2 linked regions of the Canis lupus familiaris genome follow. The protein of the gene in region 1 interacts with the protein of each later gene in a biochemical or structural test. Links are inferred from orthologs where the notes say so. Each region holds a gene or a part of one and is shown on either strand. Other genes may lie near its edges.

Region 1 (4,336 bases):
TGTGCCTCTGCCTCTCTTTCTCTCTCTGTGACTATCATAAAAAAAAAAAAAAAAAAACTTAGAAAATATAATATGGTGCAGCCCCGGTGGCTCAGTGCTTTAGCGCGGCCTTCAGCCGGGGGTGTGATCCTGGAGACCCGGGATCGAGTCCCACGTCGGGCTCCCTGCATGGAGCCTGCTTCTCCCTCTGCCTGTGTCTCTGCCTCTCTCTCTCTGTGTCTGTTATGAACAAATAAATAAAATCATAAGAAAAGAAAGAAAGAAAGAAAGAAAGAAAGAAAGAAAGAAAGAAAGAAAGAAAGAAAGAAAGAAAAAACATAATATGATAAAATAGTATTTAATATTATAAAGATAGTATTAGGAACAAATGATTGTCTCTAGATTTATAGTTTTTAAGTTTTGTAATTTTCACATAATAGTACATATATCGTCCATGCGGCATCCTATATAGCCTAAGTAGAAATTCTGCTAAGAAATTATGCCCCCAATTTACCACTATACATTTGAAGAAATACAGAGAGTTCTAAATGCTACAGTTTTTTGAAATTTCATGCTTAGATAGCACAAAGATAAAAAATACACATTTCAACTCCACTTTTGATCCTTAGCTAAGGGAAGGGAAGCAAACCATAGGCAAAGGGAAGATAAGGACTATAGAGCAAGTAATGTTTGAGTAACCACCGTCCATCAGGTATTTCACGTATGCTTTCCGGGTAAATTTTACTACTTAGAAGTAGGTTTAGTTATCTCTATACTACACCTTTATTAAATAGGAATAGAAAGATGAGAAGGTGGGGGGGGGGAGAATATTTTCCAATTTTCAAGATGGGGAAAAACGTGTTCAGGGCACTTCAGAGAAAAGAGCCTGAATTTAAATGTTCTCAATACACTCATCCCACGCAACACTCCAGGCGAGCGGTAGAAAATTCTAAGTGCGTTTGGTTTTTGTTAACATCCATCAGCAAGCTCTTTCACAACTCCGGGAGAGAGGCCTGTGTGTTCCTCTACACCCACTGCTGAAGTTTGCACAAAGTTTGAGAAACCCCCGGCACCTGCAGCTCCGACCCAGGAGCACAGGGGAGCGCGTCACTTTCCCGTCTTCGTCTCCAGATCCTTTTGACCTGCAGTAAGAACGTCCGGCTTCTGCGCCCCCCAAATAAGAGCCATTCCGGGGAAGGGGGACCTGGGGCCGCACAAACGCTTCGCCAAGGTGTGCGTCCGCAGAACTCGCGCGGGCCACTTCTGTTTTTGGCAGACGGCGGCCGCCCGGCCCAAGCCCCGCAGAAACCAGCACGGGAGCAGGGGCCCGCACGCGCGATCCCCGCCCCCGCCCACGCGCCCGCGCCCGCGCCTCGCAGCCCGCGCCCCGGCCGGAAGTGGGCGGGGCCTGGGCCGGCGCGGTGGGCCGGCCGCGGCGTGGGGGGGGGGGGCGCTTCTCCCGGGCCCGGCCCGCAGCCGCGCGTTTCCGGCGCGCTCCCCCGCGTCCTGCGTCCTGTGGTCTCGTCCGCCCCCGCAGCCATGTTGGATTGTGCTGCCGCCACCACCGCCGCTGCCGCCGCCGCCGCCGCCGCAGGAGGGTTGGAGGAGGAGTTGGGAGTTTAGCGCAGTCGCTGGAGTACGAGGTCAACGACCATCCGGCCTGGGACTCGCCGGGCGGGAGCCGGGAGCTTCCCTTTCTTTGCGCGGCCCGTCGTTGGCTCCTCCTTCCCGCGGCCTCCTCCTCCTCCTCCTCCCCGCGCCCGAGGAGCTGCGAGATGCTGCGCCTCTGATTCCCCTCCTCCCACCCCTGTCACCGAGAGGGGAGAGAGCGCTCGCCTGCTCGCCGGAGACGGCCCCGGACGCTCAGCCCCGCCGGCGAAACCATGAGCTCGGGCCAGCAGCAGCCGCCGCCGCCGCGGAGGGTCACCAACGTGGGGTCCTTGCTGCTCACCCCGCAGGAGAATGAGTCCCTCTTCACCTTCCTCGGCAAGAAATGTGTGGTCAGTGGCCGAGACCCGCGTCGCCATCCCCGACGATACCTCACGGGCCCGGGCACGAGGGCCGGGAAGCGGGAGCGGGGACGAAGGCGGGAGCGGCGCGGGGAGGGTCCGGCCGCCGCCAGGCCTCCAGCCAGCCCGGCGCGGCGGGTGCGGGCGGTGCGGGCCGGCGCCGCCGCCGCCGCCGCCCCCCGCCTCCCGAAGCTGACCGTGAGCAGGGAAGTGTCACCTCCGCAGGCCCGCCCTGGAACCCCTCCTGGCCGGGCCCAGGTCTGCGCCCTTGCTGCTGGCTCAAACTTTGCTCTCAGGCCAAGAGGAGATTTTATTCCTGCACGAGCTGCTGGATCTTAAAAACCGGGCGTCCGTACTGGCCCTTGTTTCACCTCCTGCCGCTTGATCTGGGGGTGGGGAGGAGGCTACCTTCTTTCACAATGGCAGAGGTTTCAGAAGTGGGTAGATCGGGGAATGAAGCCCGGATATGAATGAAGCGGGCCAGAATGGGGGTTTTTGATCCCCGTTTAGGCTCCCAGGAGAAAATGAAGTCGATTGCATCGGTTCAGAATGAGGGCAGGGAATGTTGCTGCCCCCCATTGCAGAGAAACAGCGTTTTTTTTTTTTTTTTTTTTTCCTCCAGCAGCCTCACCAGGCCTGGTTTCTGCTCTCCTCTCCACTGATTTTTTTTTTTTTTTTTTTTTAACCCTTCATTGGTGGGAGGAGGTGCTGCTCTCCCCACGACCATGCGCAGGAGAACCACAGTCTCTAGTAGTTCGTGGCCTTTTGGGGCCTGAGAGTGATTCTTAGGTTGGTGCTGTGCGGCCTGTTCCAACCCCAGATGGCCGGTTGGGAGCAAGCAGTTCTGCTGTGGGAAGGGGAATGTGTGTTGTTGACGGAAGCATTCATTACATTGGCTGCTGGCACTTCTGGGGGTGGGGAGGTTCTGCTCTGTGGTGTAGGCCTCGTCTGGCTGCATCTTACTGCTGTGGCTCCGTTGAACTGTAGTCGAGTTTGCTGAAATGCTGTTTGGGTCCCTGTCTCCCCTCTTTGCGTCTTAGCACCTGCATAGTATGTGCCACTGGAAACCAGGAAACCCCTACTGAAATGTCAACAGAGCAGTACCATTTTACAGCTTCTGTTGGTAGTGTTAAATATGTCAAACGAGGCTACATCTATCTGTTTAAGAAGTTAGGATAGACAATTTCTGGAAAGTTACTCTATGGGTTAATTGTTAACTTTATAGGAGTCAGCCTTTTTGTATCCTCTTGGAGATTGAATCATTACCTTCAATTCAGACGGGCCTGGTATTTTACTGATTAGAAGAATGAAATAAGAGGACTGGCTTAAAATCAAAATTTTGGGCAACAGTTTTAAAGACAACTGTCGTGTGTGTCCGTGTCCCCTCCCTCCCTCGCTTTTGAACAAATGAGAAAACTGAGCCAGTGAACCCCAAGTCACACAGCAGTTTAGTAGGTAACCAGAACTAGAAAGCCAGGACTTTGGATGCCTAGTCTGCTGTAGTTTCCACTACATCATGTTGTTTTAGAAGGGTTTTTTTTCTTACTTGTTATTGATTTATTTCAAAAAATGGTGCAAAAGGAATAATCAGTTCTTTTTTTTTTTTTTTTTCCCCACCAAAACTTGGTATAATTAGTGTGTGAGATTCTTAAAGCAGCACTAATTTTTGTATATTTTCGATTTAGGAAAATCTCCAGCTCTTTAAACTGTTACAATATCTGCAAATGAAAAAAAAATTAAAATTTTTTTGTTTTAGTTTCATTTGCTATATGATCTGTATCAGAAAGGAAATAGTTGTTTTACGTTTTACATACCAGACACATTAAGCTTAGGCAGGAAGGACATTATATTCAAACACTAGTACACTGACTAATTGCTCTATGCTTACCTGTAATGTTTACTGGTTTCAGAAAAATGAAAGATGTGAGAGAATACTGTGATTGAGAAAGATAGCCTTGCTTTCTGGTTAGCATAAGTGGATTGCTGAATAAGCCATCAGTATTCAGTGCTCAGTATCTTTATGTCATCTATTATTAATCACCTTTACCTTTTGAATTTGGCATTTCATACACTCTTGTGGTATGAAATTGTTGTGAAGATTAATATTTGAAGTCTCCAGTTACTTGAGAGTAAAGACTATTTTGTTTTGAAAAATCCTTTTTTTCTTTGCTGACTATGCCGCTTTTTGTAGTTTAAAATTATAGTGAAATACATTATCTCATTAAAAACATCAGCAATAACATTTACAAGTCGACCGGAATTTGTTAGGACAGAAGTATATTCAGAGCCCTAAGAGTTCAAGAAATGAAACAAATAGTTGCAGTCCCAGTTCTGGAGGAGCTGCATTC
Region 2 (4,467 bases), on another chromosome or scaffold:
GGGTGGGGGAGGGGGCGGGGAGCCCGATTTAGACGGGCGCTCAGCCTCGGCGCGGCGCCCTGCCCGGGGCGCTGGGACAGCACTTGTCGCCCCGCTCATGGAGCGGCGGTCGGGAGCCCCTCTCCCAGCCGAGCCGGGGATTTGGCGACCCCGGCCCTACCCGTGGACGGTGCTCCTAGACCAGGGCTCAGAATGAATGGCGGGGCGGGACGGGACCGGACCGGAGGGGGTGGCCCCTGCGGTCTGAGCGTCGGGTCTGGGGGCGGCGCGGGGTGCGCCCCGGCCCGGGGAGCGTGGGCACCTCGGGGCTCCGGCCCTGACCCTCCACGCCCGCCGGCTCCGGCCGCGCCCTCCCGGACTTTTCCACCCCGGGGTCGGGGGTGCGGCGGGCAGAGGTCAGCAGCCAGCGGGCGGGGAGCGCCGCCACGTGCCCGAGCGCGCCCCGCCCGAGCGGCCGGGTGACTCAGCGGCGCGGCTGTCGAGGAACGGGCTCGGGGGGCGTGGGGGCCCGGAAGCGGCCCAGACCCTCGGCAGCCCCACCTGGGCGGCCGCGGGGCCCTGCCCTTCCCTCCCTTGCCCGCGGGGCGCCCGGCGAGAGCCGCGCGCAAAGCTTCCCAGCACAAGTTTCCCCGAAAAGAAGAAGAAAGAGCCCGAGGGGCCCGAGCGGGAGGGGACTTTCCCCCTCTTGGAAAAGTTGCAAATCTGGCCACCTCCCCGTGTCCTTCCGCCCCGAGAAGTAGTCCCGCCCCTGCCTCCCGCGCCCAGTGACCTCGGCCGCGCCGGGCCAAGGGGCACGGCCGGTGACCCAAAGTGCTGGCAGCGGGGGGCGGGGACGTGGGGCTTGGGCCTGCCTGGGGGGGGGGCTGCTCCTGCACGTGTCTGTCGGGCAGATACTGGAGACACTCGTGCCCCCCCTTCCCGGTGGACGCCTTGGACTCTTGAGGGCGGCCGGGCCCATCTGTCCTCGCGACCCGGGGCTCCCGCAAGTCGTGACTGAATAAAATAGAGAGCGAGCCGCGTGCCCGCCCCTTCCGCCCCGCGGGAGACACGTCCCCGGCCCGCCCGCCTCTGGGGGGTGGGGTGCCGCCGCGCGCACCCCGCTCCCGCGCCGCGGGCCGCCGGCCCCAACCGCCCCGCGCCCTCCCGCCCTCCTGCCCGGCCCGGCGCAGGCGCGGACGCACGCGCCGCCGCCGCCGCTCCTGCCCTCCGGCAGGGGTGGGGGAGGGGCAGCCGTTCCATTTAACCCTGAGCGCCCCGCACCCCCCGCCGGCCCCGCGCGCGGCTCGCCCGTCCGCCGGCTTTCGCATCCTTTCCTCCCTCGGGCTCGCTCCCTTCCCCGGCACCACAGTCCCGTTTGTATTCAAGGCGAAGCGGAGCGGGCCCTGACCCGAACTTCCCCCTGCCACCCGCACTCCCCCCAACCACCATCACCCCACCCTCCATCCTTTTACAGAGCTTTCCACCCAACTCTGCAAATTTTGCAATAGGGGGAGGGATTTTTAAAATCGTCTTTTGCAAAGTTCGGTATCTGGGCAGGCGAGGGGGGAGGGAGGAAAGGGAGCAGGCCCCGCCCCTGCCGCCCTTTGCAAATAAAAATCTAGGGGGGGGGGAGGAGCAGGAAGTGGCGGTGCGAGGGCTGCTGCACAGCGAGCAGAGCCGCGGTCCGGACGGCAGCGCGTGCCCCGAGCTCTCCGCCGCCCCCCGCCCGCCAGCCCGAGGCCCCGAGCCCAGTCCGTGGCCCCCGCAGCAGCCCCGCAGCAGCCCCGCAGCAGCCATGGCCGGCTGGAACGCCTACATCGACAACCTCATGGCGGACGGGACCTGTCAGGACGCGGCCATCGTGGGCTATAAGGACTCGCCCTCCGTGTGGGCCGCCGTCCCCGGGAAGACCTTCGTCAACATCACGGTAGTACGGGGCCCGCGCGCCCCCGGGGCACCGGCCGGCTCGGGGCGGGGCGGGGGCGGTCGGGGCAGGGCGGCCGAGGGCCGCGACCGGGTCCTCGCCCGGAGGCGGCGGACGGCGAGCGCACTTGAACAGGCCCCCCCGAGGTCCCCGGCCCTCGCTCCGGGCGGCGGCGGCGCCCATCCCTCCCGCCGCCCCGCTCTCCGCGCCGGGGCGTTACATCCGGGGCACAGGGCGGGGAGGGGCGCGCCGCCCGGTGCGGAGGCCCACTTCCGCCTGGTCCAGGGCGGGGCGGGCAGGCGCGGCGGGTTGCGCCGGGGCCGGGCACCAGGCGGGAGCGGGGACCCCGGCCCCGCCACCATTGTTCCTCTTCGGTCTCTTCTCCCCGCCCCTCCCCGCGGGAGGCCGCCCGGCCGCCCCGGCCCCCGCCCCGCCCGGCCCCGTTACGGAGGGCGAGGCCGCCCCACGCCCCCCCAAGTCGGCGCGCCGCGCTCCCTGAGCCCCGGCCCGGAAGTCCCCTTGCCCTCCCTTCCCGCCATCCGGCAGGGCCCGGCGCGGGGGAACTTCGGGAGAAGTTGCAGGGCCGCGCGACTTGTGGAAGGAGGGATGCCTGCCGCCGTCCCCATCACCACCTCCCCTGTCCGCGCTGCCCGGAAGTGGGGAGGGGGAGCGGAAGTGCGGGAGGGGGGGAAGGGGATTTCCGGGCGGGAGGGGACCGGATGTGGGGGTTTGGGGTGTTCGGGGGAGGGGAGAGGTTCCCTGGGGTCCGTGGACCCGGGTCTGGCCGGCCGCAGTCCCGCACCGCCGTGCCAACTTGGCCAACTTTCCCGGAGGGCCCCCGGGGTCGGCTCGCTGGTCTGGGGACCGCGCCCCTGCCCTGGACTCGGCGCCCGGAGACCCAGGCGTCCGGGCCCCTCGCGGCTCCTGCAGAACCTTTGACCAAATAAGGACAAAGTTGCCTCCTGCTCCGCCCGCCCCCTCCCTTCCCCTCCACGCTTCTGCTTTTCCTGGAGGAGCGTGGTGCGCGTCCATGGGCTACCCGGCTCTGCCATGCCACTGTCCGCTCCGGCTTCGCCCCCGCCCCGTTCCCTGGGTGTGTGTTCCCCGTGGGATGACACCAACCTGGGATATGGTCTCCCCGTGTCTCAGCAGTCTCTTAGGAGTTTGTCGGTTTCCACACGTGTGCACAAAGCAGACGGCATACACCCCATGTGGGGCGCGGTGCAGGGCAGGGGGAAACCGGGGGATCCTGACGCTGACGGCCGCTGCCTTCCCCTTGCAGCCAGCTGAGGTCGGTGTCCTGGTTGGCAAAGACCGGTCGAGTTTTTTCGTGAACGGGCTGACACTGGGAGGCCAGAAGTGTTCTGTGATCCGGGACTCGCTGCTGCAGGATGGGGAGTTTACTATGGACCTTCGTACCAAGAGCAGCGGTGGAGCGCCCACTTTCAACATCACTGTCACCATGACTGCCAAGAGTGAGTTTCTGTGACCCCTGACTGCCTCCCGGCCTCCGATGTCCCCTCATGAACCTGTTAGCCTCTGGGGTTTCCTTTGTGGCTCCCCAGTACTAGGAGATCACAGGCCGCTGGGTGCTTCCTCCACTCCTCAGTTCCTCATCTCCTAATAGAACTTGAACTGCATTACCTCTTCTGTTCCTTCCTGGCCTGAGCCTTCTAGGGGGCAGAAACCCTGATTTCTGGGAAAGGGTAGACTGATGGCCAAAAGACTGGGTGTCTTCTGAACTCTGTTAGGCCTTGGGGTAATAAGCCCCACTGTGCTTATTACTCCGAGCCTGAATCCCTGGTCCCTAAATTAGTTTCACCCGTTTCACCCTCTGGAGCCCTAAGCTTGATTCCCTCTCCTGAAAAGCCCCATTGTTTCAAAGTGACTGACAGCCTGCCTGTGTGTTGGGGGGGTTGGGAGAGAGGAGGTTGGGTTACAGCCCCCAGGGCTGGACAGCTGCTCAACAGCTGGCAGGGGGTGGGTTGTGACACCTGGGTCCTAGCCTCCATTCTCTTTCCTCCAGCGCTAGTCCTGCTGATGGGCAAAGAAGGTGTCCACGGTGGTATGATCAACAAGAAATGTTATGAAATGGCTTCCCACCTGCGGCGTTCCCAGTACTGACCTCGTCTGTCCCCGCCCCCTACCACTCCCCACTGCTTTTGCACCCCTCTCCTCCCCATACACACACGTACACCATTTTTATTTTTTGGGCCATTACCCCACACCCCTTATTGCTGCCAAAACCACATGGGCTGGGGGCTGGGGCTGGATGGACAGACACCTCCCCCTACCCAAACCCCTCCTGTGTGTGGTTGGAAAACTTTTTTGTTTTTTGGTTTTTTTTTTTTTTTTTTTTTCTGAATAAAAAAGATTCTACTAACAAGGTGCTGTGTGGTTTGGCCTGGGTGTCGGGGTGGACAGTTCCCATGACCTGTCACCTCTATCTTGGCTGCGGGTTAGGGAGTCAAGGGCACTCCAAAGTCTAGGCATTTGGGCTTCTTGAGTCCTGCCCAGGGGGTAAAGCAGCACCTGCCAGAGGCCCACCTGGTCAGGTGGCACAG

Evidence for each region.
Region 2: the proteins of WASL (region 1) and PFN1 form a complex in vitro, tested with the Homo sapiens proteins (2 studies listed by BioGRID). The link is inferred for Canis lupus familiaris from reciprocal best matches to the Homo sapiens genes WASL and PFN1.

Annotation. Positions count from the first base shown.
Region 1 is NC_049235.1:11,772,602-11,776,937, forward strand, and holds the start of WASL (neural Wiskott-Aldrich syndrome protein), read left to right. Parts: upstream 1-1,477; 5' UTR 1,478-1,862; coding exon 1,863-1,979; intron 1,980-4,336. UniProt on the Homo sapiens protein: Regulates actin polymerization by stimulating the actin-nucleating activity of the Arp2/3 complex. Involved in various processes, such as mitosis and cytokinesis, via its role in the regulation of actin polymerization.
Region 2 is NC_049226.1:31,873,762-31,878,228, forward strand, and holds PFN1 (profilin-1), read left to right. Parts: upstream 1-1,622; 5' UTR 1,623-1,774; coding exon 1,775-1,906; intron 1,907-3,185; coding exon 3,186-3,378; intron 3,379-3,929; coding exon 3,930-4,027; 3' UTR 4,028-4,283; downstream 4,284-4,467. UniProt on the Homo sapiens protein: Binds to actin and affects the structure of the cytoskeleton. At high concentrations, profilin prevents the polymerization of actin, whereas it enhances it at low concentrations. By binding to PIP2, it inhibits the formation of IP3 and DG.